2 linked regions of the Oreochromis niloticus genome follow. The protein of the gene in region 1 binds, or shares a complex with, the protein of each later gene. Links are inferred from orthologs where the notes say so. Each region holds a gene or a part of one and is shown in the gene's direction. Other genes may lie near its edges. The genes, in order: cep152 and cep63.

Region 1 (16,091 bases):
TCCAAAACATGTGGGTATGATTGGATTGGCATCATCAGACCTGCACCTATTACAGCGAGGGTCTAAGTCAGGATAAATCTTAGATAATTTGGATTTAGATAAATGGGCCCTATGAACTACTTTAAATTGTAATAGGGAGTGGTGAACGCAGAGTGATGTGGAATTTACCAGAGTAAGGACTCAATCCCAAATGTCATCTGACATAGATACAGCCAACTCTTCTCCCCATGTGGATTTAAGGCCTTCAAAGGGAGCTGAAGTTACAGCAACTGCAAGTTTGAGCAAAACAATGAACACCTGGTGGAAGTAACTATGTCAGTATAGTAAAGTATGAAGCTTCATACTTCAACTAAATTTAATAGGCAAATAGTACTTCACTATATTTATCTGACAGCAGTAGTTACTATTAACTCTTTGGATTAAGATTTTTGCACAAAAAAAAACTACTGAGGATTATGAAATTGTTCATAAAAAGTAATAACTAAGGAAAATTACAAATAATAAATAGAAATCAGTGAAGCAGATCCTCCCTATATCCTCTCCAGACTCCTCAAATTCATCTGTAAACCAGCCTCTACGACTAAAACAACTAGACTTAAGAATCAAACCAACTGCAGCAGTAAAATGCTGTTTGCAGTATTGGTAACCTAATTCTTATCGTATGAGTTTCTGCAGAATTAGCACTTTTACATACAATATATTGTCAAAAGTATTTACTCACCCAACCAAATCATTGAATTCAAGTGTGCAATCACTTCCACGGCCACAGGTGCATAAAATCAAGCACCTAGGCATGCAGACTGCTTCTACAAACATTTGGTAAAGAATGGGTCATTCTCAGGAGCTCAGTGAAGTCCAGCATGGTACTGCGATAGGTCCAGTCATGAAATTTCGCCGCTACTAAATATTCCACAGTATTTCCATCTGTTAGTTATAACAAAGTTAATGTTATAATGTCATACATGTTATATAATTTTATAACAAAGTGGAAGTGATGGAAACAGCAACTCAGCCACAAAGTGGTTCGCCACGTAAAACAGAGCAGGGTCAGCGGATGCAGAGGCACATACTGTGCAGACGTCACCAACTTTCTGCAGAATCAATCGCTACGGACCTCCAAGCTTCATGTTGCCTTCAGATTTGCTTAAGGACAGTTTGTAGACCCTTGTGAAATGCAGTGGTGTAACGCACACTGGGGGTGATGCTTGATGCTGTTGCCAGGAGAACAGCATTTGTCTGAGGGTATAAATTTAAGTAAAAAGTTTGGTGTTGGGTTTTCGGGTGTTGGGCTCAGCCTTTTAGTTCCAGTTAAAGGAATTCTTAATGCTTCAGCACACAAAGACATTTTGGGCAATTTCACGCTCCCAACTTTATGGGAACCGTTTGGAGACGGCCCCTTCCTGTTACAACATGACTGCATGCCAGTGCACAAAGCAGTTTTATGAAGACATGAATGAGCCAGTTTGGTGTGGAATAACTTGACTGGCCTGCACCTCAACCTGACATAACATGTTTGGGATGAATTGGAGCGGGGACTGTGAGCCAGGCCTTCTTCTCAAACATCAATGTTTGACCTTACAAATGTGCATCTGGAAGAATGGCCAAAAATTCCCATAAACACCGCTAAATCTTCTGGAAAGTCTTCCCAGACAGTTCAAGCTGTTATAGCTGAAAAGGGTGAGGTGACATCATATTAATCCCTCCTTTTGGCAATATAGTGTATACTTTGCTAATAATACTTTGTACTTTTTAAATTAGATTTAGGTCTTTGCTTTATACATTGGGGACTTTATATATTTAATACCCATGTGTTGTGTATTTACATACTTTTCCCATCCATGATGTATTTCCGCAGGTTCGTCGTCTCCAACAGTCCAGGAAGAAACAAGGACCTCAGGAACAGAACCTGAGGCGAGTACGCAGGACAAGCTCCCGCCGCTCTGCCTACGCCTTCTCCCACCAACAGGGCTTCGGCGAGCTGATTACCTCAGGCAAAAACATAAGGAGGAGCACAGTCTCTTCACTTTGCTCTCCCGAAAGAATAGCACAAAGCCACAGCTCCAGCTGGATAGAAAACATGTTAAAGAGGAAGAATGAAGTTTCCTGTGCCTCACCTGAAAGTGAAGGTGGAGCACCAAAAAGCGGCAACAGAGCAATACAGACTCGAAGCAAAAAAAGCACGCAGACTGAACTCGACATTTAAGACACTGCATACAGTAAAGGGTACCGTATGCATGGATCCTACAGACCAAGCACAATTCTGAGTGAATCTTTGCTCAAATCAGCTACACAAATGTACCTCAGTTATTTTTGTTGTTGTTGTTTTTTTTTTAAAAAGTGCGAGTTATGCGGACACTGAATGTTATAAATGCCAGCCAAAACATAATTAAACGAGGGAACCATTCCCGAATGAACAAAGAAATTGGCAAACCCTCACTCTGACAGCATAGGTTATTTTTCATGACAATATTTGCATGAATTGCAAAAGTTAAAGAAACATTTATCGTTGCTCAGAAATAATCCAGTTTGACCTTAGTTTTGTACCATTATAATGGCATGGCCTCTTCTGATTAATAAAGACGTTTCAGTACTTTTAGCTGTTACAAAACAAACCTTTGTGCAATAAAAACAAACGCAGTTCCCAAAAAAGTCAGAACGATGTATAAAATGTAAACAACGGCAGAATGGCAATCATTTGCAAATCTCACACCCATAGTGTATTCACAATACACCACAGAAAACTTAGCAGATGTTTAAACTCAGGAAACATTTGAAGAAAAACATTTGATTTTAAATTTGATGCCATCAACACATCTCAAAAAAGCTGGGACATGGCCATGTTTATCACAATATAGCATCTGTCCTTAAACATCTGGGAACTAAAGCTGCTGAACTTTTGGGTTTAATATATCCCAGAGGAGACGGCAGCGTTTCTAGATCGTGTTCGCATTTGTCGATGGACCAGTGAACTGTCTTCTCACACAATGATTTCTGAAACTGTGCAGTGATTTCTGTGGCAGAATTTTTGGCCTCACCCCCTGAGCACAGAGATTTCTCCAGATTCTCTGGATCTTTTGATGATATAATGTACTGTATAGATTAGACATTCAAAGTCTTTGCAATATTACATCGAGGAACATTATCCTGAAAATTTTCCACAATTTGTATACAGTTTTTTTCATATCCAATCATCTTACTCAGCCTAATTAGCTGTTGCCCAACTTTTCTGAAATATGTTGCTGTCATCAAATTGAAATTGAAACAATATTTCTCATCAAATAGTAAAATGTCTCAGTTTAATCATTTGACATGCTTTCTAGGTTTTATCGTGTGGGTTTGAGATTCGCAGATCATCGCATTTTGTTTTTATTTACATCTTACACAGTGCCCCAATGCCCCAACTCTTTTAGGGCCGGGCTCGTAAATTACAAAAGGGAAGATCGCCCTGGCCACAAGTACAAAATGCACCATCTTTAAAAACTATGCACTGAAACACACTTTCTTCTTAACATACATCCAAAGTGCTAAAAAATAAGTATTGTAAATACTGAAGTAATGCTGCTGAATAGGATGGTAAGCACAATTAATTACAGATTTTAAACGTTTAATACATTTTACAGTTTGTGGCATACAGCATACCACAATGACACTGCTCTGAGATCCATTGCCCTGTGCTGTGCCTTTAATAGTTTCTGTTAAAGACAGCTCTCTTCTATTTAATATGTCATCTCTGATTTGGCCTGAGTATATTTAAGGACAAAGTAAAACTGGAATGCATGGCTTGAGTAAGACATAAGAAAATAAGTGAGGTTTGATCATACATCGAAGAAGTGGATAAGTTTTACATTTAAAAATTACTTAAACCATCCCAGTTTTTTGAAGTAGATAATTGTTCATAAAAGAGATGCAAACACAGGGCAGGTAAAATATGATATAATAAAGGCTTTTGAGCGTTTTGCCATTGATGGATTCATAAGGAAAGAATGAGATATACCCCTAGCTGAAAACCCTCACATAGTGGTGTTCTTCTTTCAACTGCTTTCATTAGGGGTCCATCTCAGCCTATCTTCCTCTGTCACACCAACCTCTCTGCATGTCCTCCTCCACCACATCCATGAACCTCCTTCCTCTTCTCCTCCTGCCTGGCAGCTTCATATTATAAAATAACCACTCTCTCCTCCACATCTCCAAACCATCTCTTGCCTCTCTCACAAACTTATTTGGATTTGTATTTTAACCATTTACTTGCTTCATACTTAATTTTTATTATCATTTTACATGAATAACATGTAAAAGGGGCCACTCTTATGTACTACGAAACTAAAAAATGCCCCCCCCCCCAACACACACACTTCTTTGGAATATGATGCATAGACCTCTAAGCCTCCAACAATCAATGCTCTTTTATGAAGTAAAAAATATTACTGTGCAGAAGTTGACATCCAGCATTTGAGCCTTTTGAATGTCTTTAATACACTACAACCCCAACACTCTGCGTTTCCATTAATGCACATGGAGAGAAGTTTTTTTTTTTTGCCTTTTAATGTTAGTGTCTGAAATTTTAATTTAGATGAATTTTATACAGCACAAGTTTGTTTTTGTTGCTGTTTTTCTTACATTTGCTGTCTTTTTGTTTATGAGAGAAATGTGCAGACAGACAATGACTTCTCAACAAAATCTTTCATTATAATAAAAAAGAACATGTTTGAATGCACCACGGAAGCAAATCTTTGGCCCTTATTTTCCAGCGTGATCTATATAGAGGAAAAAGTTAAATTTATCAGTCATCATATCATTAGTCACATGTGTAAGAAAAACCCATTTCTGAAACTGAAAACCATCTGAAACCCATTTAACTGAAACTGAATGACTGCGGTATAAAAACCGGTATAAAATCAGAAATGGATTATGAAGATCACTCCTCGAGGTAAATTGCAGCTCCACCACCTGGCTTTGATACAAACAGACTTTGTTTTTCTATTGCTGCTCTGCGTGGATCAGGGAGGTAGTATTCTTCTCTAACAGCTTGTAAGAAAGACTCCACCTTCTCACTGGGAACCATGGAAACGGCACAGCCTCCCCACCCTGCTCCTGTCAGGCGGGAACCCACAGCCCCTGACTTCCTGCAACCATGAGAAAAAACAAAAAGACAACATAGTGCTAAGTTTGACACTTTAATACTATTATTCCTCTAGAAAGATGTGAGGAAGGGGTTGCATGTACATCTACAGTCATGCTAGTGGTGTGAGGTTCTACTTACTGTAAGCATTCAGCAAAGAGCTAATGCTAACACGAGTAGAAATCATACAGCCCTTGAATGACTAAGTCCATCCTTACTGCTTCCAAAGGAACTGAGAGGGCAAGTAGCAGCCTGGTTCTGCTATTCTGATGCACTTGATTAATTGATTGTCTTTTATAATTAGAACTGGGACACATGAGAGACTGTATGCAAACTGGATTATAGTTATAGTTATTATATTATAGTTTGCATTGTGGATTTTTATTAATTGAGATCTTTTTTTTGGTAAATGAACCTAAATACCTCTAAACATTCATTGGATAACATCCAAGTTTCTCTCCCAGGCTGTGCAGGAGTGGTTTAGTTTGCAGTACTCACAGGCAGATATCAACTAATTGGTCCAGTTCAGGGCAGCTGCACTCGTAGAGGTCTCTGCAGCTTGCGTGGCTTTGGTTCATCAGCTCTCCCAGTAGCCGCGTGGCATTGGCAGGTTCAGAGTCGCACACGCTCTTAAACTGCAGGACTCGTGCAGCTTCCCCGTACACATGTTTGGCTCGCTGGTGAAGCTTGAACTGTGTCACTGAGAGAAATAACAGGAAAAGTGTTCCAGCAAAAACCTTAATCTTAAACCTGTTTTCATGAGACTGGAAATGAAAAAAAAAAAAAAAAAAATCTAATGTGATGGAATAACCAAATACTTGACTATCAGCAGAAAATAATATATTAAGGGTTGCTTAGAATATATTTACAACTAAGAAAAATGTTCTGAAAGAAAGAAATGTAGCTCATTTCACTCAGGTAGAAGTATTTGGTTGGTTGGAAATTTAGTTCACCTAAATAAAATGCACAGGAAAATATAAATACCACATTTTAGTTGCAATATTGATAAAATATGATGCATTTTAGTGTGAATGTACTACAATAATCTGTCAATGTCAAAATATATCAGACTTAGAAAGATGGGGTGGGGAATTAAACTAGCAACACGCTTTTTTGCGCTCCATTAATGGAGTACTTCACATAGAGCTCCTGCTTTATCAGCGCCCACACAGGTTTTACTTACTGTCCTGAGTATTAGCGCTGAGCAGCTCTGTTGAAAACTGCTCCGAGGTGATGCCCAGCACCTTGCATATCTCCTCTCGGCTGTAAGGCTCGGGGTGCAGCACCTCGTCCACCAGAGCCAGCATCTCCTCCAGGGAGGCCTTCAGCTCCATCTGAACATGAGCGAGCTTCAACAGCCTGCTCGAGTCCACACCCCGCGCCTGGGCCAGCATCTGAGTACACATCCACTGTGATGTTAACTTTGAATATTACAAACTTATCACACATGTTTAAAGTTTACAGCGAAGCGTGAGGCTGTTCATCGCTGTGTTCTTGGGTTGTTGTGCTCTGTTGCCTTTGAAAGAGCACACGAGTCAAACTAAATTCAATATTAAATTGAAACTCAGGAAATAAAACAACATATATAACAGATATTTCAGGAATGCATCACGGCAACAAATAGCACCTTCGTGGCGATCCGACACTCCACCACACGGATGTTGTAGTGAGAAGAAGCAGCTTTGTTCATCTCCACGCAGCAGTTGGAAATCACAAACACGGCACCATCGGGGAGTTTGACATCGGTAGCACGCAGGGGCTGGAACTCTATCAGCTTTGCCTGGCAGACAATTCAAAAAGTTTAGCCAGCAATATTGAAGTTATTATTTGTTTAAATAGTGTATTTTAGATGTGCCATATTCGTCAAACACAGGTCAAAGGCGGTCGGGCTACATACAGTTCCTGCCTCTGCCAGGAATGAAATTGACTGGTCCATGCCTCCTCCCTCTGTGCCAATGTATCGCTCACTTTTGGCACAAATCTCCGCAAGAGCCACCTGGTGAAATACAAAGTTTTCCTCTTTAATTAACAAATCCAGGAGAATGTCTGACTCATAAGGATTCACATTATAACAAATTAAAGACAATATGTATTAGGAGTCATATTCTTTGTGATTAATTGTTCATTACCTGTTGAAAGCATCATTTTTGACTGTTACCAAAAGAAATTAATACATGTTTTTGGTTTGGTTACAAAGAAGCTTCACCTTGGAGAGGGACTTTTGGTTTGCCTCCATTGTTACGAGGCCAGAACAACAAACTAAGGCACTAGAACTGGACAGGCCGGAGCTCGGAGGGATCGTTCCATCTACGACACAGGACATCCCTGCTAAATGGTTTAGCCCAAACTTCTCCTGAAAGAAAAAAAAAATCTAAATGTATCATGTTACCACTTATGATGCATTTAGTACATGTTATAGTATTCATTTTTTGCCATTCCATAATTTAAGTATAGAACTCATCACAAAACTTACCTGAATACCTTTAACCCCACAGAGAAAATAATAATACCACTGTGGATCATCTCTATCTATGGCAATTTCCTCTGAACACGACACACTGAAATCCCTGTATAATGACAAACAACAAGCTTTCTGAGAACACACACTCATAATGTACAGCTACCATTGAATAAATTACACAGGCCAAAAACACACAAACAAAAAATATATATTGGGGCTGTCACTATAAGGGTTCACATCTCACTTGTATTTAGGATTTGCATTGGCCAGCTGGATCTTCCCTGAATTGTTCACTGACACAGCTGCGAGGATATTCTGCTCGATGGCCATTGGAAGCACAGAATAGCCACAGTAATCAATGTGTTCACCTGTTAATGTGACAAATATGAAAAAGATGTATGTGAGAGACCGTGTTTGACTGGTACCACTAAAAAATTCCTGGATAAAAGCTGCAAACAAAATCATAATATTACCACAAATGTTTTACTTTGAAACAAGGTCAAAATATTAAGAACACCCACTGGCAGAACTACTATTATCTCCAGATGATATTTATATAGGTATACACTGTACTTATTCAACAGATACAAAATAGATGGAGCATATACAATAATGCAATCAGTCTACAACACATGCCACATAAAGTATGAAATTACCTATTAGGTTTACCCTTCCAGGTGCAAATGCATAGAAGAGAGGAGATTCCCCATACTTTGACTCAAAGGTTTCTTTTAAGTTTTTCATCCTGCAAAATGACAAGAAAAGCAATTAAGTATCATAATATTATACTCTGAGAATCACTGCGTAACCTCGTTGCTTCTCACCTCTCGTTAGCAGCTATCTTTGTCTTTAACTTGGGCGGGTTTGTGGCCATTTCTACCCGTTTTAAAGTAATTGTGAGTCCACTTGTTGTCAGACAGGAGAGCTCAGAGCTTTCACATATCCGGGTTTAGATCAGCTGACTGTCACAAGAGGCTCCCGGATACCACAATGCTGAACTCTGGTCGGAGCTCAGCTGAGTTTAGCGTCTGTCTACAAAGGAAGAGCTGACTCTGAAGCAGCTGAGGCAGCAGAGGCAAAATGCGGAAGTTAATAGACGGAAAGGGGGCGGGTCTTATGAGTCGACGTCCACAAATCTGAATGGGGTAACTCCAAATACTAATAAGAACGGTCATTCATAAATTTAATGCACAAAGTTTCTTTTTTTTTTTTTACAGTAGCCTACTTTAAATTATTTGCTTTAATGTTAACGTCAATGAACTTCAGTAAAAAAAATAAACAGGTATAAAAAAAATAAAAAGGTAATTAAAATAACAGAAATGTAATGCCACATTTTTGTGATTAAATTCCCAGGTTTGACTAATCTGATTATAATATCTATTTAGTAACCCTGTTTACGGTTATCTTGAAATTAGCTGCTATGTCACTGTTTAACCACACGATGGGAACATCAGATTGCTTTTTAAAAATGCCAGCGATGACGAAGTTTTTCATGAAAGTGTGGCTTTGTTTGCGCATAAAAAATTAATACATGTTGACCAGGAATAAAAAAGGAGGAAAGAAAAACAAAAAACAACCTGAAAGAACAACAACAAACATAACATTTTATATATCATTTCCAAATAATCTCGATAACTACACTACCCATAATTCTAACGACTTTGTTACCATGGACACGGGGTTAACTAGCTCCGGGGTTCTCAGCAAGAAAAGAAATCTTGTAAATAGCTTCACCTGGTATGTTTTGTTACGCCAAAAAGCATTTAAATTAATATTTTCGTGTCGGTGAATTAGCGTCAGTTGTGATAATGAGTAAGTCTGTGTGCAATCAGTTTCTGAAATCCGCTCTGTCTCAAAGAGTCGCAGTGGTTTGGCGCTGCTAACGCGCGCGAGTTTTCAAAGTGGGCGAGTCTAACAAGGTACGGCTAGCAGGAGTTAGCTTTGTTCGCTACGAAGTTAGCTTCCATCTTAAATGTTCGCAAACTGGCCTATTATTTGGCATTAAACCTGCGTGTCTTGTTAAACGTGTTGGGCATATGTTTCCAGAGCTCGGCTGGGTCGTTTGTTTGGCATGTCCGGGTTTACCGCTCGCTAATAAGCCTCACTGTTTTGTAATGTAAAGTGCAGCATGGCTAACAGTTGAAGCTAATACTCAATAATAGGGATACGCAGCTCAGCAAAGGAGAGATCTGCCGTCTTTTAATTAACGGGTAAGCTTTGATATATATTTCTAGCTGATATCAATGCGTAATTTTAGTTAACTTGAGTTTTTAACTGCTGTCAAAGATAAATTAAGTTTTGTTGTTCCTGTTTTCCTAGCATCCCCTAAACGACCAGGAGGGTGTGCATTATGTCTATTGATTTTGACAGTGCTGCTCTTCAAACCCAACACGATGAAGAGGAATACGACCAAGAGGACTACGCGAGAGAGCAAGAGGTGCAACACTCAGATCTACAGCTTTTCAGAATTATTCAGATAACATCTGTCTGATAATTGTGCATCCAGTTGTTGGACTGAGTTCACATTCGGCATGCACCCTGAATTTCTTAGGATATTTACGATAACAATTTGATGGATATTTTTTATTTACTCTGTTATTTAGTGCCCACTTAGCTAACTGAGAAAGCCTATTGTGAAAACACGATTTGTCTTTCGACTCATCTAATTGTGTTTAAACATATTTAGCCAGCTGACTCTGCTTGTTCATCGCTCATTGGTTACAGCCATCATAGTTGCTGATATCAGTCAACACAGTAGAAAGCCTGTGCATGTTATTCAACATGCAAGAACACAACAACATGTCCAGCTAATGCTAAAATTACAAAATAGTAAGAAGTCATTATTTATCTCAGCTTACTTTACATTTACTATCACTGTGTACAGTGATTGTATGTTTACCAGATTTCACTACTACTGTTGATCTTACATTTCTCTTTGTGAGTTTGTAGTGCTGTCTGGGGAATCATTGACAAGTGCATTGTTTGAATTTCACAAGCATTGCCTGCTTCACAGTTACTCACTGTTATTACTCACATCTACAATCTGTTGTGCTGTGAGCTTGAGCTATTATTGGCTCAAGGAAAAGGCCTCCTTCCAGGTGTGTCACACTGAAACCAGCTCAGCCCTTTGGCTTCCCCACTTTCCATTTGGGTTACTTGGCTTCAGGAGAGAAAGCGAAGAAGCATTTGGTGATCTTATAGAGCTCAGCATAATGGGCTTTAAATAGTATTAATTAAATAGATTTTCATTTCATTTCATTTATTTTTATTTATTCTTTTTTTCTTTTTTTAGGCTATAACCTACTTATAATACACTAGCTCATTATGGATAATGTCTGCCAGCAGTAACTGGAATGTTTCTGCTCCAGTTAACTTTGCTATATGTTTTGTCTAAACAATGGAGGTCTTTGCGAGGCAAACAAGACAATACCACAGGGAGCCGACAACATGCCAGGCACGTTTTGGATGTTTTACACAGAAGGCCTTCTCTACAGGCAGATTAGGCTGGGGGTTATCTCGTGGTTTCACAGCTGAAGTAGAAATGCCTTTTCAAATTTTGTTGACTGTGTAAGTGGGATAATATGGGTCCTTCGGTTGTGGACACAGTGGAGGATCTGAGGAGTATTCAGCGGTCCTTATGGGAAGTAAGTCCAGCTGGCTCTGCTTGTTTCAACACACATGGCTGTTTGTTATGCAACTTTGGTTAGTCTGTTACTGAGGAGTTTGTTTTTTTTGTGTCATTTTATTTGCAAGTGTCAAAATATTAAACAAGGAAAGACTTAATGAGAATCAGTTTTATTTCAAAGTAAATTTACACATATGGGTTCTAAACCGGCAGCACGGTGGCATGGTGGTTAGCACTGTTGCCGCACAGCAAGAAGGTCCTGAGTTCAATTCCACCATCAGGCCGAGGGTCTTTCTGTGTGGAGTTTGCGTGTTCCTTCCGGGTACTCCGGCTTCCTCCCACCGTCCCAAGACATGCAGTTTGTGGGGACAGGTTAATTGATTAAAAGGACAAGTGGAAGCGGATGGATGGGTTCTAAACCAGTGATTAACATAGGACTAAATTCACCCATTTAGGTCACAAAATACAAATACTGCCATATGAGCACAATATGCAAATATTTAAATAGTAGAAGGTTTTTTGCTATATAAAGATTGGGCTACACTGTGCAGTGCTGTGCAAAATACAGTCAGAGAGTGCAAATACTCAGTGTTTATTTACAGCATATTTGGAGCTTTTGCTTCATAGAAGACTTCCGTGATTAATCATTTAATCAAAGTTTATCCTTAAATCTCACATGCAAACACAAAAAGTTTCTGAAAGTGTTTTTAGGTATAGCCTGAATAATTTTGATTTAGTAACTCTACACAGCATAATGTAATGATATTTAATGTAACAAGTGTTTCTCAAAACTGCAGCTAAATAATAAAAACACACTGCATAAGACTTTTACAGCCTTTTAAGCTGTCAGTGATTGCTTAGCTCTGGTGTTTTTTTTCCTCTATCTTTGTTACTTTATAACTCAGTTGCGAAGCAACCATAGTGACTCATTTCCATGTGCTATTTCCTCTCTTTCTTTTTTTTTTTCCTTTCTCGCAGCTGCACAAGCTGCTCACAGACCTGCCTGATGACATGCTTGAGGATAGCATTGACTTCTCCTCCCCAGAGCTGGATTACACTGCCTGCAGTAATAAAAACACTGGCAACAGGTAACACATGTTGCTGCTGATGACACTATATGTAATGTCACATTTCGAGAACTCTGGGTGTGGTTAAAGACAAGCAGATTTGTTGTCACTGGAACATTAGTTATCATTTGTTGTGCTTTCTCTACTTAGCCCACAGTCCAGCTGGACTCAGCAATGGTCTGGTCATCCAAGGCCAGCCCCTCATACACAGGTAGAGTGTTAGTTTATGTTCAGTAGTAGATTTAGGGGCCTTGAATATTTTTGCCATCAAAAAAATACAACTCATAAATGGTGCATACAAAAAAAGTTCAAAAGGGAAAGAATCACTCTCTGTTATTGTCTCTCTAAAGAACTATGAAGATCACTATGATGAAGGGTTGAACAATGAGTATGCATATAAGGATGGAGCTGCTCATATTAATGGACATCGGAGTCCCCCTCAAAGTCAACCTCTGCCTCACACCTGGAACCAGGATCATCAGTTCACACAAGCAGATTATACATGCACAAGCATGGGCACAGACAAAATGACAGAGACCAGTGATTTTTCCACTGAGTTTGAGTCTAAACCATACCCTCAGGGTGCCAGTAATCATGTGGAATATAACGGAGAAAGAGGATACATGGACAAGCAAAACCACCAATTTCAAGTGAGTGGACCATTTCATTTCAAAAGCATCCAGAAGGTCCTAGCTGTTATTGTGCTGTTCTTTCCTTTAAGGTTTTAAGTCTTAATGCCTCCAAATCATTTGAATAAATAGTAACATGAAAGGATTTCTAGTATTTTTTTTTTTTAAAAAAGCAGCATTTTATTCCAAAAGAAACGTACATTACTTGTGTGTATGAAATGTCCTCAAATGTCATTTTAAATTAACATCTTGTTTTCTGGCAATTTGTAGTTTGTGCAGTTTTATTTTTTTATGTTTGCATGTTTTGTTTGTGTATTTGTGTTTTTTAAATACAGCAACATTTTCACTACTATCATACTATGTTTCTATGTTTAAAGTCTGAAGTATGTGACAGAGGTGCAAATCAGTACAAGGTGAGCTACAATCCTCATCATCCTGCCCATCAGCCAAACATGTTTAAGCCACAGGCCGCTCAGCAAGGTCAGTTTGACCATCTACAGAGAGATTTCCTTGACTCAACACAACGTAAGTCTTAGTTTCATTGACTAAATAATAGTACTAGTACACTGACATGTAAATATAAACTATTTAATGAGATGTGTGCCTGTTTCGGGACTGCAGATGGCTGTTGTCAAGTAGCTTAATCCGTTACAAGGCATTTTTTTCTTCCAGTTGTATGCATAGTCTAGCTGTACTGCAGAAAGGTGTAATTTGAATTGCCAGTGGCTTAAAAAATGACATTGCTTAAATTGAAAATGTCTTCACAATGAAAAATGACTAAAATTAAACACAAAATTATCTTTGTTTCAGAAAATGCTGACCGGGAGCAGCTTGCCCAGCTGCAGATTTTGAACAAAGCCCAACAGAGGCAAATTGAAGACTTGGAGCGAAAACTTGAGGATTCACGGCGTAACATGAGATACCTCGAGCATCAATTTGTAATCGTCAAAGGTATGTTCAACTTAAAATGAGGGACATCTCACTTTGTTGCAGTACTTGAACAGTATATGATTATGGAGGGTTTTTAAAAAAAATTTTTTTACAACCATAATAATAACAGTATAGTGTAATAATAGAAATCCACTCAAAACCTTGGGCACTTATGACTTGAGAGGGATTGTCAGTTTATAGCACTGAGACTAGTAGAAGTAAATGCAAGTTTGTCTTTAGTTGGTTAAAACATCTGCCCCCTTGTGGCTGTTAGTGATGTAGCACTGCTTGCTAGATGTGCTGATGGTCCTTTTTTTAAAAATTGTCCATAGATGAAAAGGACGGCCTAGCAGTAAGTTTAAAGGAAGCGAGTCGATTGATTGAAGAAGCCAAAGAAAGAGAAGTCCAAATGCAAAACAAGCTGAAGGCAATGGAGCAGCAAGTACAGATCCTCACTGAGAGAGACCACGAGGTATGTTCTGTGCTGACAAACACTGTTTTCATTCTATTTTCTTAGTTATTTAACGCCAAATTTAAGACGGTAATAATAGTTAACTGTAACTATTGAAGAAACATGCACTTAAGGAATTCAAAAGCTTTGTCAGCTTTATAGATTTAAGAATATAATATGAAATTTTGTATACAAATGTGTCTAAACCAGCTCTGCTTACTGAAACATGATGCATGACTGAAACCTTTGTATGAGAATGCTTCTTTTTAGTGTATATAGCAAAGGTTTTCTTTTGTTTGCAGAACATGAAGAAACAGAGGGTTGCAGATGCTGCGGTAGACAGTATGAAGCAACAGATGTTGGAGCTTCGCCGTTCTGACACGCTGTCCAGAGCGCGGGAACAGCATGACAGAGACCTTGCTGTCATAAAGGAGCAGCATGAGGCTGCTCTGTTAGCCCTGCAACAGAAGCTGGACTCTACCTCTCAGACTTTGAATGAACAGGTCTGGAGTTTTATTGACATAGTATTAGAAAATGGAACAAGTTAACCAAAAGTCCATTCTTTGTCATCGGACAAATGTTGATTATATTATTATTATTGTTACGTCAGAGTGTGTTTTTTGTTCTGTGGCTTCCAGCTTGATATTGGTCAGACGTTACGGGAGCATGTGAAGCTGTTGGAACGCCAGAGAGAAGAAGAGCAACTGGAGAGAGCCAGAGTGGTGAATGCACTCACACAGCGTCTGGAAGAGAGTCAAAAACAATGCGCCAAGCTGCTGCAGACAAGTGTGTGAACTCCACATGAACATTACTGAGCAGCTGACACCCACATTACCTTATTCTTGCTCACATTTAATCGATCTAATTATGTTTTTTATTTTCAGATTCAGTGCAAGAGATGAGTCAAATGCAAATCAAACTACAGCAGGCACTGTCAGCCAAGGCCCTGAGTGAGAACATGAACAAAGTTTTACAGGTTTGTCCTCAGATTTTTCTAAAGCACAACTACTCCTGTGACTTCTGATGAACAAGCTGCACAAACGTTTTGTGTTTTTTCATTTTCACCCTAAAGGAGGATATGGCTGATCTGAAGGAGCAGATCGCTCTGTATGAATCTGCAGTGAAGCACGGTGTCATTGCGATAGACCTAAGCAGCAACTGGGAGAACCAGCTGTCTGAATCCTGTGTGGATTTGGGGTTGAAGAAAACAAACAGGAAAAACGGCACGCTTAATAGGTAACAGTGTGAATACAGAGCAGTCATTGTGATCTGTATCTCTTCCCCTCTTGGGCTGAACTCTCCAGAGTAACCTTTGGAAACACATTTTTCTGTTGTTTTGTCAGTACTGCTTTGGCTCACCTGTCAGACTCCAAGCTGCCCAAGGATGAGGCTTTAAGGTTGCTACGAGTAGAGATGCAGCGCTGCCTGGGTAGTTTAAAGGGGAAGCGGCAGAAGATCAACCAGCTGCAAGAGGAGCTCCAGCAGTGTCAGCGTCGCGTGAATGAAATGCAGATTGAATTAGATGAAACAAAACTTAACTCTGAGGTGAGTGCTGACTCCTGAAAACTGTAACTTTTCTAAACTTTGGTTAATTTTATAAAAGTACTAAAAGTGGGCAGGTTTAGGTGACTGATGCAGACATTTTTGATCTACCCAGATGAAAGAAACCAGCCAGAAGAAACATCAAGACATGACTGGAGACTCTCAAAAAGAGTTGATGAGATTACAGGAGGACAAAACACACTTGCAGGAACAAGTGGAGGTGGGTTGATGTTTGTCGTCAGACTTATCATGTTCTTAGTTTTTTGG
Region 2 (16,427 bases), on another chromosome or scaffold:
TGCATGCCTAGTTTTTAAGCATAGGTACTGTTTACCCGTGTACACAAGTTTGAATATGTAAATGGTAACATTACACCCGTGACTCAATGCACTCGGATGACGACTAGTCCAAGTCTTTTTTTTTCTGTCTGTTTGTTTACGAACTGGATTTGTATACTTGACTACAGGATATGTGTTTGTCGTGTGTGTGTGTGTGCGTGCGTGTGTGTGGGTGTAAACGTGTGCTTTCTGCATCGGCAACGTTAGAATGCAGTTACATAGAGGGCCACTGACAAGTCGCATCATCCTCGCCACATTACGGCAACTTTGGGGTCACCGTTTTCACCTGTCAGCTGCTGTTGCATTGTGTGGTATCTTGGTGTTTGTGATTATGATGCACATACAGTGTACTTACTGTAAGCGAGCAGTGGAGGATCAAAGCCCTCGCCTTGGGTCACAGAGGACAGACTAAAGTTCCCTGATGACCGGTTCTGTGTTCAAACCGACCTTTAACATTGTAAATCAGTTTTTCTTTCCTGACAACAGACTAATTTGCACATGTAGACCTTTCAGGTTAATATGAAGTTATGAGAAGCTTCATGGTAAATGTACAGTCACTTAATTCAAAGACATTTCTGATTGTCATAGAAACTGTCGTTTCGTGTTCCCACCGAGATGAGGTTTTTGTTTGGTTTTTTTGATGTTCGTAGTATGAGGATCCATTTGTGCCAAAATTATGTTCACACAAAGACACACTAAGCATTTGTCAGCTGTGTTTGCAATGCATGCAGTGCAAACAGGCTTCAAACAGAATCTTGAGGCGAATGATTGCAGTGATTCTGTCGAGCGTAACTGTGAAGCGACGTAAAAACTGCTGTCGGTATGATGGTGAAAAACCAATCATGGACTGACAGATGTTGACTCTGGCTTCTCCTAAAATAGAGATGCAGTCAGACTGTCTCTTAAACTAATATAAGATAATCCATAGTCCAGCGATGAGGTGAGGTTGCGTCTCTTTCATTTGTTTTTTTGATCAAAGTCTAGAGCAAAGTCAACTGATGATTATTCAGAGCCAAAAAGTCTGTTGAAGTTCTATAACCTCACCTGATCACTATTTTTCCATCATTTATGCCACAGACCTGTTTTTTTTTAAAGATTTTATTGTGTTACATGTCAAAATGCTCTTCCCTAAAAGCTCAGACTCACTTAGTATTTAATTCAGCTCAGGCACAGCCGACTGAGCGAGAGCCCTACGGTCAACTAGGTGTCCGTGCAGAGGAAGAAAAAGTCACAAGTTTTCCCTGGATGAAGGATCCCTAGCAGGTCCTTTTGTCTGGAGATCTCTTTTAATTTTTTTGCTTTGAAAGCACCCGAGAGTTGGTGCTCCTTTACACGCCTGTGGCTGCAGTGCAGGTTTCGAGTTTTATCGTCATATAGAGGAATGGAAAAATCATAACCAGCAATGAATGCCCTGTACAAAAACACCCCCTAGTCTGGGACTGACTCTGTTCCAGATGATGCCATGACATCATGTGTCTTTCCATTTATTTTATCCCTTGTAATAAGTATAAATCCTGTCTTGGATGAGCCTCTCATCTTTTCTTAGTGCTGCTCTGCTTGTCTCTTGGTTTTGTGAACAGACATGAAAGTTTAAAAAACGCGGCCAGTTTTTTAAAATCCAGTAAAACGAGCAGGGCGACTTTTCGGGCATGTTTTGGCCACATAGACAGCAGCCGTACAAATGTAATTTTGACACCAGTGGATCCTCATACTAGCACCTAAACTGACTGCTGCCGTTTGTATGATGCAAGGTTGCAAACGGCTCTTAAAAATGTCAGAGTCGTAGGATTACGTGGCGGTTGTGAAGTCAGTCGAGAACACTACTTTGACTTGTCTTTGAGGTGAAATCTTTCCTGCACTTTTTAAGAACATGTTTTAGATATAGAGTGACGATGTTGATGTTTTAGAAACATGGTTAAAAAATAATAATATTTACTGTGTCTTAGAGTAGAATCAAACATGTAGGAGTTGTTCACGTTTCCAAAAAAAGAACCACACAAAAAAATAAACGGGGGAGCACTCTGGTGAAAGCTAGTGAACCTTTCTAACCCACATAATGAGCCAAATAATAAGACTAGTGAGAGACGGGATTGGTCAAATATGATGGGAGATCTGGACTGGAACACAGTGTTTTGCAGGTTTTAGAACAGTTGGGTTTTAAGTTTGAATCCCTCAAAATGAAAGTCTTGTAATGTTTACTCTCTTTGTGTTGCTGCCTCGTGAGGAGGGAGGTATTTATGTTTCAAACCACAGCAAAATGATTGATCATTACACACTCACACACTCGTATTTATTCCCCTTCAATATAAAAGTCCACCTTTGTTTCGTTGTTTCCTGTTAACATTTCTCTTGAAATGGACCAAGTGATGCAGCAGATGTCTTGTTGGGGGAGGCGTTGTGTGTTTGAGGATGTGGGGGGGGAGCCCTGTGCTCTGGCTTTCCATTCACACTGTACAGAAATCTAGCATGTCTCTCCAAATGATTAATAAAGATGTCTTATTACCAAAGTCATGCACGGGACTTTTCTTAAATAAACTTTACTTCTTCTTTTCTTTCTTCCTTAGCTTTGGAGGACCAAAACTGTAAAAATCCAAAATAAATGACATAAATAGAACATTTTAATAAGATTTGTGTGGGGGGGCCTCCCAGGTGGGGGCTTTCAGGTATGTCTTACTGGTTGGAGGCCCCAGGTAGGCCTACACTGGAGATAATATCCCAGAGGAGCTGAAGGAAGTGGTCGGGGAGAAGGAGATCTGAGCCTCTCTGCTTGAATCGCTGCCCTCATGAACTTTATAAACTGCTGAAAATAAAATTAATTAAAAAATATAATTTCAAATACAATGTATTTATATATATTTTAAATAATTGCTTCCTGTTTGTATCTTTATACTATATTTAGTTCTTTTAATTTTATATTTTTTAATAGGTCATTTATGTATTTCTTTATATATTTTTAATTTGACAGTTTTGGCCATTCGTACTTAGCCAGAGAAAAACCAAAGACTGCATAAAAGATGGACATGGCTGTCATCGTTCTTGAAACAAGGACATAGAGCTGCAGTAAAGCTACCTAAAAAAAAAGAAAATAAATAAAAAAAGCTTAGTGTGTGTTGGCAGCCTAAAAAGTAATGGTACAGTAAATTAAAAATTAATGTAATTCATTTTTTGATTGTATTCTTTATACCCACTGGATAAAAGCCAGACTTTTAAAAGGTGTCTGTCTTAAATTTTGACCTTTTGAAAACTACAACACAAAAAAATATGGCACGCAATAAAAACCCTGAAATGATTGGATAACGCTAAAACTGCTGTACTGTCATGACTTTAAGCTTGCTGTTATGTGCACTCTCTCAGTGTGTAGGTCACAATAAGGAATTATTGTGTCACGTTATCATACGTGTCGTGGCATGCATGGTTTCTACTTTGACTCAGTAACAATTATCTCCAGTTTCTACTCATGACGGTTTGCTGATTTCATTGCTGTTTCCAGCTGTGATTTTGTTATAATAACCTTAATAGAAACTAAATGATGACTCTTTCTAGGCCACCTGTGCAGGTAATAATGTAGTTTTTCTATCACAAGAATGAAAGTTGATCTTTAATTTGTTTAGTTATTTCGTACTTTTCCGTACTGCAAGTGTTTGTGTGGATTCAGATACTCAAACAGGAACGTACTATTGTTTGCAATGCAGTACGGAGGAAATGATCTTACACCATGACGTTGTTGCAAAGCTTCCCCACTGGAGCTGAAAATATTTTTGTGGCTCATGGTTAAATAACCGCCTCATTAATCAGTCTGACCAAAGAAACCTGCAGATGCTTATGCGGGCCTTCAGTTTTTAGGTTGGTGTAATTTACCACAGTATTTAATTCTGATGCTAGGCCTAAATTATCCTCCAGGAAAAGTGTATTTTTATATTTTAGCATTCCAACTCCGACTGAAGTCAATTATGTGCATTATCCCACCACTGCTGAGACAATCTGGGAGTTGTTTCCTGTTCTGTTCAGCTTTAATCTTGGGGATTACCACCATCAGGCCTGCACGGAGAGCCAGTAAATACATTGCAAAACTGAAACTGGTTCGTTGCCATATACACAATCATGCGTGTGCGTGTTTGTTTGTTGCTGCCTTCCCGATACATTCCTGTCCAGCCTGCCCCCGTGGCTGCCAGCTTATTTTGAACTTGGAGGCAGCTTCCTGTTTGGCAGTAATTTAAACGTGGGAATATGGTATCCAAAGACCGAATAACACACCGCCTGCCAATATATGACTAAGAGTACGCAGGCTAACAGTTGAGACCAAACCAGTGTGACAACTAACAGATTTTCAGCTCCATCCAAACAGCACTGACCTTAATGTGACTGAGACACCAAACACATCATAGTCAACGTATCTTCTTTAAAATATGTCGGAGGGGGTTTAACATGGACATAAAGTGGAACAAAAAGAAAAGAAAGTGATGATCCAGTTTGCAGATATCATTGAACGTGGAATATGTGCCAGATGCTCGGTGAATGGAGTTTTATAATCCACTTTCATGGTTGAATGAGTCTTTTGTGGCAGGTTTTTGTTGTGCGTCTTCTCCACAAGAATAATATTCAGAAATCCCCTCCTGGCTTCACTTTTTTCACTCACTTAAATACTTCATGTGTCATAAATGGTGCATGCAGTAAAGGAGGAAAACTCATGATTCTTTCAGATGTCAATAAAACCCAATGGACACCTGTTTGAAAAATAGTTTTATTAAATACTTTATGTCCTAGCTATCATAAATACAGAAAACAATAAGTTATGATGGCTATTCAGGAGCTGAAATGGAGAGGGGACCATCTGTTCTGAGGGGGTCTAGGTCTACGGGTGTTAGCCCCTCTGGGACAGCTGAACTAAATCCCACAGCAACGGCTGGGAGAATTAATCCTAGAATAAATAATGGGGAGACGGAGCACCTTTGGCTGAGGACAAAACTGTGTCCTGACAGGATCACAAATGAATCCTCCTCCCCCAGCGACCACAGCTTCCCTTCAAAGTTGAGTCTTCTCGTCCTGAGAGCGGCCACTTGTCAGTTACTTTTAAAAAGTCTCTTCTGTTGAAAGTCTGCGCCAGGATTTCATTTCCCTTTAAGATGAAACAAAAAGAAAAATATAAGTGATCATTTTTACTAATAATCTGTAAATAAAAGCTACAAACTCAGAACGTACACATTGCTGCCAGGCACGATTCTCTCCTGGTGTTGCTTCGTCAGACTGAACCTCCTGAAGAACGTGGGCAGTTTGAGCTTCGCTCTGGCGGATCTCGAGGAAATGCTGAAAAGAGAAAAGGCTCTCGTGTCAGACTGGGCTTTGGGAAAAATGCTGTAGAGCCGAGGCGCTAATGAGAAGCTGTGTGGACAAATGGACTGCTCGGCACTAATGTGTAAAGGACTCGGTATGACAGGAATTTCATATTCAGCACTGCCTCCAAAGAGGTTTTGTTCTCATTTTCTGCCATTTAAAACATTTTCAGTCCTCAACTTCCACACTAGTAATGTTTAAAGACTCAAAATGATAAACCCACCATTCTCCTTGTAACTGTTTAGCTTCTATTCTCTCCTGTGCAGCTGTTTGCTTCTCTCCCTCCTCCTCTTCCTCTTCTTCTCTTATGTCCACATCCTCCGGTATCTGGTCCCACAGCTCGCTGTTAACCCACAGAGCTTCTCGAAGACCTCGACCTCGGCCTATGCAGGTCACCCGGCGACACAAAGGGCAGCCCACGGTGAGCAGACCGTTCCTCTCCGTTGACATCCTCTCCAGACACGAATCGCAGAAGGTGTGCCTGCAGTGGAGCACCCGGGGGATCCTCTCCTCCCGGGAGTAGGGCAACAGGCAGACGCTACAGTCGCCATCCTCACAGAGAACCATGGTCAACCCTGACAACTTGTGGACTTAAGGATTTTTCTACAAAATCTAAATTTTTAATGGGTGTGAATAGGCTTTCTGCGAGTCCAGTGTTTAGAAACAATGGTGAAGATGATGGCTCCAGCAGATCCCAAGCTCAACAAAGTGACTCCCTAATACATTAAAAAACATTTTTATTAGCTATTAGAAGCATTGTTGCATCAAATTTAATTTAAATAAACGTTAATCTGAATTATTGTAGTATTGATGTTTTTTAATCCAGACAATGAACCTGATTAGAAAGGACACCAATATACCAAAATACACTACCATCTACTATCTTATGCTGAGTTGAAAGAAAAATGTTTCAATAATAATAATAATAAAGAGTGTACTTACAGCTGGCCTTTGCGTGTAATTTATTGTCCGTCTTTGGCTGCACAGCTCAGCCTCTCTGCAGTGAATGGTGTCAGAAAGCCGGCTCGTCTGCCTCCTGTTAGGAGTGTCTGTTGGGTTTGTGGGGGCGGAACAGAAACGTCTCCAGCTCTTTCTCTTTCTCACGGCCCCATACCCACCCAGCATAACAGCTGGGGAAGCAGAGCGGAGGGGACGCTCTTTGTTCAGTGTTTGACGACAGGCAGGTGGAGAAACGGGGAAATGACGCAACGGGAGGCGGGTGTAGTCACACAGAAAAAGTAATCTAGTTAGCTTTAACATGAAAAACATTAAAAACATCCTTATGTTTCAAGATAAATTGAAAAGGTTTGATATTCTTCAGGAATAATAGAAAAGGAGGGCTCGTCCGGGATTTGAACCCGGGACCTCTCGCACCCAAAGCGAGAATCATACCCCTAGACCAACGAGCCGGTTGCAAAGAGTTCTGTGGTAGCGTTTTTATATGTTGACATATCCATGACTTGACTGTATTTAATCAACAATCATTGCGTCACTATAAGAGAATATAATCACAACCTCAATATAAGGACTAACGGATGTCAGCAAATTCCTGAAGACTATTTGGACGGAATCGACGTCAGAAATATTTTTCCTTCCAAAAATACAACTGACCACAAAGAGTAGGGACCCTACACTATTTTGTTGGTTTCTACCGTGACTGGCACAGCATATAAATCACCAGTTCTGAGACCGTCCTACTTTGGCAAACCGTCCTATACGTAGGATAATTTGACAGTGACTTCTGACAAACCGTAACCCTAACCATAACCCTAATCATAACCATAACAAATATTCACATTGGCCTAAAAAAATGAAGTAAATTTGGGGATTGCGTTGTTTCCGCATGCGCAGAAACAACGGGTAGACTGTTTCGTGTGGTAGGATGGATTCCCAGAACACCGGAACACGACCACAAGACAATTCAGAAGTGAAAACGCGCATTAGCTTGAAAACTGGTAGCAGTGCTGACCACTTACGTAGACTCCACAGTCGACTCTACAAAAATTCACTGCAGAAGTTTGAAGTAAATATGTCAACAGTCCTCCGGTACAAAAATTGGGCTCGTCCGGGATTTGAACCCGGGACCTCTCGCACCCGAAGCGAGAATCATACCCCTAGACCAACGAGCCACGTGTTCATAGGATGTCTGACAATATCCTTTAATCGTCGATAAAACCAACATGATGACATATATTATGATATCATTTGTTACAAAGCGTTAAAGGTAACAGGGAATTTCCAAACACGAACTTACATAGCTAGACGTGTGGATAACAAGTCTCTTTTGATTATTTTAAACCACTTGCTTCCTGTGCTCTGGAGTTACGTACAGCGTGTTGACATCACATGCCGGGGTGGAGTTACCGCCTTACCTCAGGAAGCGCGCTGTTCGGTTGTGCAGTGTAGTCCAGCTAGTGATGTAAACAAATAAAGTTGGATGAGTTGAAACGGACCAGCCACAGCCAGCAGCTAACGTGAGCTAACTATGCTGGAAGCAGAAACCACCTCCGTGTAGCAGTCAGGTCAGCCTTGGTTTAGCTCGCTGTGTATTATGGGTTGCTAGTAACGTTTATGGTTGCTAAGTTATAGTGAACTTCTTGCGTAGGGAAAGGGCACGTGAAGCGACCGCAAAGCCAGTCCGCTTTAAGTTACTAACAGGACTTTACTTTAAACCAGATGGAGGCTTTTCTGGGGTCGATGCACAACCCTGATCTGAGGTAACTTGCACTGCGCTTAAAGAACTAACTTGGGCAATGAGCATTTACAGAAATTACATCCTTTTCGTTATTTGGCTTTTCCTTTCAGCTCAGTCCTTTCATCGTGTGAGCCGGAGCTTCAGGAACTGATGCGACAAATTGACATCATGATCAACGATCAGAAGAGGAAGTGGGAAGATGAGACTTGTGCCTTGGAGCTCAGGCTGAAAAGTAGAGAAGAGGAACTTTTAAACTCAAGGAGCACAATTGAACGGAGGGAACTGGAGGTGAAATAGAAGAGCCTAAGAGTTTATTCTAAACAGGAGCAAAGTTCTAAAAGATAAATAATGATGTGTACACGTGTTTATCCAGTGTTGGTACTCCTCCCTCGATCCTGTTAGTGATGTTCATGGACAGGATGTCAAAGTGTAGCCGGTGTGAGGAGGTGTCCATTGTGGGAACCTCAAAATCACATCCCTGTGTTGTGCAAATTATCATATCAGCGAAACTTCAAGATATAAATATAAAAGGACATACGTATTAACATTAATGTTTATGGGACATTAACAGGTAAAAGGTGCTGCTAGGTGTGCACATATACTTTGTGGCAGAGTGCAGTGAGGTGTGTTTAGTCTTGATCAGTATGTGTGGGTCTGACCAAAGTAGATGAATTAAAGAGTCTGATAGCAGCAGACTCGCAGACAGTCAGGTTAAAAGAATCTCCAGGTTGATGAGCTTCATGCCAACTACAGATTCGGCCTTCCTGATGAGGTTATTCAATCAGTTTGCATCCAACAGATATAGTTCTTCATCACAGCATGACCATCAGCATGCACTGGAGCGGTTTGCAGCCTGGATGAGGGCCTGCACCTACAAGTCTGAGGCTATGATCTTAGTCACAAGTGAAGGGAACGTGGAGTGTGAGATGCCTGCAATCTCCTAAAGTGCGTGCTGAAATCTGGGGAATGACCTAACAAGTGTGGTGGTAGATGCAAGCAGCTGAAGTGAGTCTGGGCTTAGCGGTAGGATTAGGAGCTTGGACATCTGGAGGGAGCTCAGAGTCGAAGCACTGCTTCTCGCTCTTAAAAAGAGCAAGTTGAGGTGGCCTCTAATCAGGACACTTGCTCCCTTTTTAAGGTTTCCCAGCGGCGTTGCTTTGTCTGCTGCCGCCACAAATCAATGTCAGATGAGGGAAAGAAAAATGGATGTTGTTGATATGATTGAATCAGCCTTTATTTAAGTAAAACTAGATTTGGATTCTTTACTTTTGTTGATGATTTGACGATGACAAAATTTGTAGATTGTAAACCTGCAATTTTTGTGGGCACCAACGATGAAGTGGGGTGGTGCATCAAGGCTCAGTGTGAATAAATAAAGAGCATTTTGAGTAGAGACCAAAAATAAAAAAATATGCAGCTGGTAATGAGCATAGCCTCAATATAAGATAGTTGCTAACACAGCTCATAAATTGTGTGCTCATATTAACTCTTTCCAACACCATTACTGTACCCATGACTGTAGATTGGATTACTCCGCAAGCAGCTTGAAGATGTCCAGACTGGCCGACAAGAGTTAGCCGCCAAGTATGAGCAGCAACTGCACAAACTCCGTGAAGAGGTGTGAAAACTCGTCTGTTACAAATCTTTTCTGCTGTTGCTTGGGCAGAAGTTTACAGTTTTTCTGTTTGTACTCACTCTCCCGCATAATTTCAAATATAGTAAGTGCATTTTTTTTCCTGCAGTTGGATAAGTTAAAGAGAAGTTACCACAAGCTTCAGCGCAAACACCTCAAGGACGCTAACGCAGGAGTGAAAGAGACAGACCTCCAGAAGGTGAACCCTGATATCACCCCAGTCATGCCATTGGATTGCTGCCGTCTGCTGGGTATGTGAGGTATAATCATGCTCCCCTCTCTCTGCAGGAATATCATCAGCGCTCTCTGGAGTGGGAGCAGCACCGCACCCAGAGCCAGCAGGAGCTCACAGCCCTGGAGGCCGAGAATAAGAGCTTGAAAGATGAGCTCTCACACATAAAAGTAAGTTCAGTGACTTCAGCATGTAAAGAAAGCAGAGGCTTGTCTGTTTTATTCACCACGTGTTTTCTGTTGTTTCCAGTCCCAGTGGGCAGCGCATCAAGTGGAGAGGGAGCACAGGGATTGCTGTTTGGAGGTGCAGCGCCTGCGCTCTCAGCTGGAAAAAGCTCAGAGAAGTCTGCACACACAGGAGCTGGAACTGGAGCGTCTCCGACCACTTGAGAGTTGGCAGGTAGGTTCAGAAGCCTGGGGAAGGTGATAGGACGGAAGATTTTGAATTAAACAACACTCACAGCAAGTTTCTCCGACATGTATTAAGCCTGTAAGAAAAGTTAAATGAAAAAGTCTTTAGTCTACCGATCAACTTTATCAGTGTCGAGAAACTGAGCTTTAACATTTAATCCAGTGCCCATAAACCTCTTAATGTTGATTATTCAGTTAAGCATTTTCAAGCTCAAAGTTCCTCATAGGTGCCAGGTTAGAATATGTTTTAATCAGCTGAGGATCCGCTGTTTTGCAGGTGCTTTCTGAGGAATGGGAGGAGCTGGACTCCCAGGATGCATTTGTGCGGCGAGCCAGTCTTGAGCGCCAAAGACTCCGTAACGAAACAGCCAGATTCAACCAAGCGCTGCAAGCTAAAGATCAAGTCATTCGGTGGGTGTATGCCTAGTGATGTAGTTCAGCAACTTGTACAGAAGGGGGCGTACTGCGTCCACACTGTAGGCAGGATGTTACCTTGTAGCACTCAGGTTTATTCACCAAGCTTTCCAAGTGACTGACTCTGAAGTATTTGCAGCCAAAACGAGAGCTGATCAAATTCTTTAAATGCTAAGCAAACTGGCCATCTACCTGCAGACTGCGTCAGTTGTAGATGTAGGGAGTGTGAAAAATGTGGTATAACTGGTCTGTGGGCTACTCCTGCTTGTGCTGTTGTTGGTCTGTCAGCGACTGTTAAATACGACCCGAGTGTTGAAAACCACAACAAGTGTCCACTGCAGCCACGGTCTGTACTTTTCATACTGTAGTTTTTCTAATCTTTAATGATTGTTTCATGGTTCTCCTGTCCCTAGTGAACCAGGGAATCCACTTCCCTATTCCAAGCCAATTGTCAACCAATGAGGATTCAACAGAATCCTAGATCATCCATGTCCAGTGATATGCAGTTAGGATTTTGGAGGACTGCGTTTCATGTGTGCACAAATTACACTTTAGTCCTGTCTGTTAAGGGTTTTGGGTTTTTTTTTGCTATTCCCAGAAAAGTCTTGATCAAGTCACGAGCTAGAAGCTAAACTCAGTGTGACACTCCATAGAATATTTATTCCTGTTTATTTAAAATTACAACATCAGTAATCAAGTGATATTTTTATCCAGCCTGCATGAATCAACACATCCTTCTTAATATCTTTTCTTCATCTTCTGATGTTTTCTGTTGGGAAAAACAATTAGCTATTGTCCATCATAAAGGTTGCCATCCTGTGAGTGTTTGTGTGATGTTCTTGTGCAGCTCTCTGGAAGACTGTCTGGTAGCTCAGGGCTGCACCGGTGTGGAAATCCTCAGACGAGAGCTGGAGAAGACTGCAGCCAAGCTCCAAGGTGCCCAAGCATATCAGGGTCATCTCAAGGCTGAACTGGCATGTCTCAAAGAGAGGTAATGTTAGTCCGCCCCTTCATGTAGTCCAAAACCCAAGTTTGTTTTTTAGTCTTTTAGTCCTGTCTTGAGCTGAAGTAAATAGTGAGTGAGTGGGAATGGGGTGCGCCTGATTTATATCACCAGAAGAAAAATTAGAGACTTAATCACTTTTCAGATTCAGATCTTTTTTCTGTGCGAGTCATTGCTTTTATTTGTCTGGACTCAGGCTGCAGGTGGTGAGTAAACAGAGAGATGAAAACTTGAAGACGGAGCAAGAACTGCGAAGCCTGAAAGCTGAATGTGACTCTTCTATGGCTGAAGCGAAAAGGGTCTGTGTTTTTGTTTTTGTTTATTTTATTTTTTTTCATTCTTGTGCTTGTTGTTTAACAATCCTGCCTACGTTTGATCTACAGCTCAGAGAGGACCTTGAGCGGGCCAGGCAGACTCACAGCGGCGAAGTTGAGGGAATGAGAAAGGAGGTGTCAAAGCTGACCAGCGAGCTGCACGAACGCGACCTCGCCATCGCCAGTCTGAGCACCTCCTCGTCCAGCATCAAGCAGCAGCTTCGCGATGAGGCGGAGCGATCAGAGAAGAAGGCTGCTGAGCTCAAAGTGAGAATTCATTCTAGAGAGAGAACTAGAATGATCAGATGAGCCTCTATGAGCAGCAATCCCTTTAAAAATGGGGATAGCCGGGCTGAGCGATCAACAGCCATCCAAGGCCCCTTAAATCCTCTCCTCCTAATAACAGCAAGTTTATAAAGGATCTAGATTAATGGACTGCATGAATGCTGTACTGGGCAGGGACTGGACAGTGAAACTTGAAGCTTTTACCCAGAAAAATGGTGGACCCTTAACAAGCCGATGGTGTAACGTCCCGTCCTTTGCTGCTCTCCGTTTGTGTAATCAGCTAGAGCACAGGTGTCGAACTCCAGGCCTCGAGGGCCGGTGTCCTGCAGGTTTTAGATGTGTCCTTGATCCAACACAGCTCATACAAATTGCTAAATGACCTCCTCAGCATGTCTTGAAGTTCTCCAGAGGCCTGGTAATGAACTAATCATGTGTTGTTAAAGATGTGTTGACCCAGGGTGAGATCTAAAACCTGCAGGACACCGGCCCTCGAGGCCTGGAGTTTGACACCGCTGCTCTAGAGCCTGTTTGTTTCCCACCTAAGAAATACTGGTACATTTATATTCAACAGGAGGAGTATAACCAATCACAGAAGTTGAAAAATCTTTAACTTGTGCGAATGGATTCATCTGTGTTCACATACGCTTGCTTTCACTTTGCATTTAGTATAAACATTAAATCTTTCTAACTTGTTTTTACAGGCACTTTAATAAATAAGGCACTTACTCACAAACCTCGATTTCCTGACGGCTGGTTTGCTATTTCTTAGCATTTATTCTGTATCTCCGGCAGATTAATGCAGCCTGTTTTGTGCCAAATGTGAAATGATGTTGTATTCTTTGAGGTTCGTTACATTTTTCTCATTCTTTCACAGATGACTCAGGCACAGCTGGAGATGGTACAGGCTGAGAACCAGCACCTGAAAGGTCTGCTGCAGAGACTGCAGCCTCAGTCACCAAAGGTTTGTCTGCTTCGATATCAGTCATCACTCATGTTACAGACAGGAGCCTTTTCTTTGTGCCTCTTCTGTGCTTTTTTTCTAAGTCCGACTCACTCCTCTGTCGTTTTACCCCCCTGAATCACTCATTGCTTCACAGAGGGGGGGCTCCCAGCTTGCCTCCCTGAGGGAGAGTTATGTGTCTTCTCTGAGCAGCCTGGAGCAGGAGAATCGGCAGTTAAGGCAGACACTCGCTGAGATGCAGTCACAACTTGAGGCCTCCAATCAGAGCAGTCAGGATAAATATGAACACGCCGTGCTCAGCCATGCTGCGACTGACCGAGAGCAGCCTGCATATAACAGGTAGTGAGCATATGTACACAGACAGGCTATTTTCCAACAGTGGTCGCCTGTAAAAGAGGGAAATTTTCAGTATTTTATAAAAACTAAGATATAAAATGTTTTTCCATATTAGATTTAAATAGTTTGGGGTGTTATTTTGTCACAGGCCACAGGAGAACATGCAAGTCAGAAAAGCTCAGGCTCTAGAGAACACCACTCGCTATGAAGGAGAGATCCAGGTGCTCTTTAAAGAGCTTCAAAGCTCATCCAAGACATCCACAGATCTGTCCCGCAGCCAGTCCAACGGCAGCAGACCTCATTCATCCGCCTCCTCGTCCTCCAGCAGCAGCACCACAACAAGACTGTCCACGAGAAACTCTGTGCCAGTCCTAAGCTCCAGCAAATCTGCAGCTGATGGACAAAACTCAAGCCCAGGAGACTCTCTGACCAGCAGCGATAAAGAGATTTCTTCTCCCTCTTCAGAGGTGAGCCTCATCTAAATTAATGTCTTGTAACATTTTGTTTAGGTGGGTTTAGTTTGGGTGATGAATCCTAAAGTCGCATTTTTCTTCCCTCTTTAGGACCTTTTGTCTGCATCGCTGACAGACACAGTGGTCACTCGTTTCCTGGAGGAAGAGAACCTACGGACTGAGGAGCTGCTGCAGAGTCTGGACAGCCACATCTTCGGGATGAAGGAGAAGAACAACAAGACACTCTCCACGTTCCTGCACAGCAGCTCAGAGCTGGACTCTGCCCAGATCTCAGTGCAGGATGGTCAGTGATGCAGTCACAACAGTGCCACCTGTGTTCTTGTGCTTTATATCATCATGAATGATCGCAGATGGGTTAGTGCGTCCCTTGATTGAGTGTTTTATCACATTTATGCCACGAGTTAAACCAAGTGTTTCTTAATAACCGTCTGTAGTAAATGTTGTAGGCTGTTACACTTGAATGTGTTTATCTGTGTGCTAGAAAAAGCTGAATGTAGCTTCCAGGTCTGAAAAGTGAAGCCAGAAAGCACAAGTGCCTTGAAGCTGTATTTCTTCTAATGGCCAGCAGGGGGCGACTCCCAGAGTAGCAAAACAAATCCATTTAATTTGAAGTCTGGGAAAAATGGCCAGTGTCTCCCTTTGCCTGTGACTTCGTGTAACACTTTCCTGATAAATTTATGGGCTCAGTCTATTGCTTGAGGTCATAATGAGAACAACGTGATGTCTACTTCACAAATCGTCATCCCCTTCAGTGTCCAGAAGGCGGTTAAACTTGGTATGCTTTAAGGCATGTCTCCCTTCTGATTGACAAGATTCTGCCCTAAATCCTGCACTGCAAGATTCAGGAAGCAGGAGGAATGTGTTCGAACACCACGTAAGTCAAATGTCCAGGTAGAAGGACAAGATGATGAAGTTTGAGTAGGAGAACTTGGTTGGTCCAAACTGCTGTTTTTGTATTTTTTTTTTTTTCTTGACCTGCATATTTTATTTTATTGTCTGGAATGCAGCATCGATGGGACGTTTGCATTTCCATCCAGACAGACTCATGGTGCAGCGAGCCAAAGGAGGGTCCATCCTCCCCACACGTCTGTCATAACTTAGAAAATACCACATCGTTTACACTGTGTCCATGATGGAGGGAGAGTCAAACACACACACACACACACCATCAACACCCGTCTGTAGAGGCCCTCCAGCCCGTCGAGCGCAGGAATGCGTGCACCGTGCCAATGCTGTCATGGACCTTCATCCCCTGCGGCGTGCTTCGTCCTCATCATTAGAAAGCTGATGGAATGTTAATTTCTTCCATGTGCACCGGTGAAAAAGCTGAGGGGGGGGGGCGTGGGGACAATTTACTGCTCTCCCAGTGAAGGACGCTCTGATCGAATGGAAATAAAGTGGGAAACAAATCTCGAGAAGTATGTGTTTTTCATTTTTGCCTTCATAATGTTACAATAACAAAAGAGAAGTGATGTTCAGCTGAGCTCTCTGACTTCTCACTTTGGTATTCGTGAGCCTGCTTTACGAGCGCTTAAAGCTCCAACAAACAGCGCTCAGGAATTTGGCAAGGCAGGCATTCCTCTGGCTCTCTGCAGAGGGAGGTGAAAAGGTTTTTATATGTGCTGAGATTCCTTGAAGGGGCCTAAGTAAAAGGGAGGAGGAATTGATTTACTTATGTAATAATTCACAGAAAATAAATTCAGGCTGTAAGATGATTAGTTTAACGAACTGAAGTCTTTTCACCTTCTCAGGGTTGATGCTGGTAGTTTGATGCAACACGAGAGGACACCTACCGCCTCGAGGACTTGCTTTAAGGCAAGTCTTTGAGAAATTACTGCAAAAGCTAACTGGACTGGTGAAGTCAGCACCGCTCTGCATGACTTTGTCATTTTGCTAAAATGGTGCCAAGCATGGAAAGGAGCAACTTGGAAACCAAACACCCCTGCTGAGGGAACCTTGTGGCTAATGTAAAAGAGCCGAGGAAACATTAAAACTGTAAACGAGTGCAGCTTTTTGCAAAAAAAAAAAAAAGAGGAGGGGGGGGCAGGCATGTCAGTTCTGGTGTCTGATTGGATAACATCCTAAAAATAGGGTTATAAATTTCTATGTCTGTCTAACCTTCGCCTACCTCAGCATCTGCTCAAGAGTAATGCTTGTTTACAGTGCTGTGTTAAATCTATTGTGTAGCTTTAGGTGGACCGCCTTGACCCGGCCCAGAAGCCGTGAACAAAGAGAGACCACCATGACCACTTACTGTTTGAAAAGGAGTAGAAGGTAACAAATGATTATTGATTACTACCC

The links.
Region 2: the proteins of cep152 (region 1) and cep63 are in contact, whole or in part, in a crystal structure (PDB 6CSU), measured with the Homo sapiens proteins. The link is inferred for Oreochromis niloticus from reciprocal best matches to the Homo sapiens genes CEP152 and CEP63. Residues at the interface, in NP_001181927.1 of Homo sapiens: Gly1261, Ala1262, Glu1265, Leu1266, Gln1269, Tyr1270, Lys1272, Ala1273, Lys1276, Ile1277, Asp1280, Met1281, Tyr1284, Glu1287, Ser1288, Arg1291, Ala1292, Met1295, Ala1298, Arg1302; in NP_001340037.1 of Homo sapiens: Phe666, Glu669, Glu670, Arg673, Ile677, Arg680, Leu681, His684, Glu687, Leu688, Glu691, Ser692, Thr695, Phe699.

The regions. Positions count from the first base shown.
Region 1 is NC_031972.2:49,854,247-49,870,337, forward strand, and holds the start of cep152 (centrosomal protein of 152 kDa), read left to right. Parts: upstream 1-9,249; 5' UTR 9,250-9,790; intron 9,791-9,899; 5' UTR 9,900-9,930; coding exon 9,931-10,017; intron 10,018-10,873; exon of another isoform or gene 10,874-11,161; coding exon of another isoform or gene 11,162-11,224; intron 11,225-12,183; coding exon 12,184-12,293; intron 12,294-12,422; coding exon 12,423-12,483; intron 12,484-12,622; coding exon 12,623-12,922; intron 12,923-13,278; coding exon 13,279-13,426; intron 13,427-13,711; coding exon 13,712-13,852; intron 13,853-14,163; coding exon 14,164-14,303; intron 14,304-14,584; coding exon 14,585-14,785; intron 14,786-14,920; coding exon 14,921-15,068; intron 15,069-15,166; coding exon 15,167-15,258; intron 15,259-15,354; coding exon 15,355-15,518; intron 15,519-15,625; coding exon 15,626-15,827; intron 15,828-15,939; coding exon 15,940-16,044; intron 16,045-16,091. Other genes in the region: atp8b4 (probable phospholipid-transporting ATPase IM), read left to right, coding at 1,856-2,203; galk2 (N-acetylgalactosamine kinase), read right to left, coding at 4,916-5,123, 5,618-5,819, 6,303-6,513, 6,747-6,899, 7,017-7,115, 7,326-7,472, 7,593-7,686, 7,825-7,948 and 2 more. UniProt on the Homo sapiens protein: Necessary for centrosome duplication; the function also seems to involve CEP63, CDK5RAP2 and WDR62 through a stepwise assembled complex at the centrosome that recruits CDK2 required for centriole duplication.
Region 2 is NC_031986.2:32,687,127-32,703,553, forward strand, and holds cep63 (centrosomal protein of 63 kDa), read left to right. Parts: upstream 1-7,750; 5' UTR 7,751-7,892; intron 7,893-7,946; exon of another isoform or gene 7,947-8,046; coding exon 8,047-8,087; intron 8,088-8,175; coding exon 8,176-8,353; intron 8,354-9,587; coding exon 9,588-9,683; intron 9,684-9,807; coding exon 9,808-9,897; intron 9,898-9,986; coding exon 9,987-10,100; intron 10,101-10,179; coding exon 10,180-10,329; exon of another isoform or gene 10,330-10,343; intron 10,344-10,617; coding exon 10,618-10,751; intron 10,752-11,601; coding exon 11,602-11,745; intron 11,746-11,953; coding exon 11,954-12,056; intron 12,057-12,140; coding exon 12,141-12,338; intron 12,339-13,230; coding exon 13,231-13,317; intron 13,318-13,453; coding exon 13,454-13,656; intron 13,657-13,801; coding exon 13,802-14,120; intron 14,121-14,216; coding exon 14,217-14,409; intron 14,410-15,877; coding exon 15,878-15,897; 3' UTR 15,898-15,912; downstream 15,913-16,427. Other genes in the region: im:7152348 (RING finger protein 223), read right to left, coding at 5,110-5,155, 5,239-5,343, 5,594-5,937. UniProt on the Homo sapiens protein: Required for normal spindle assembly.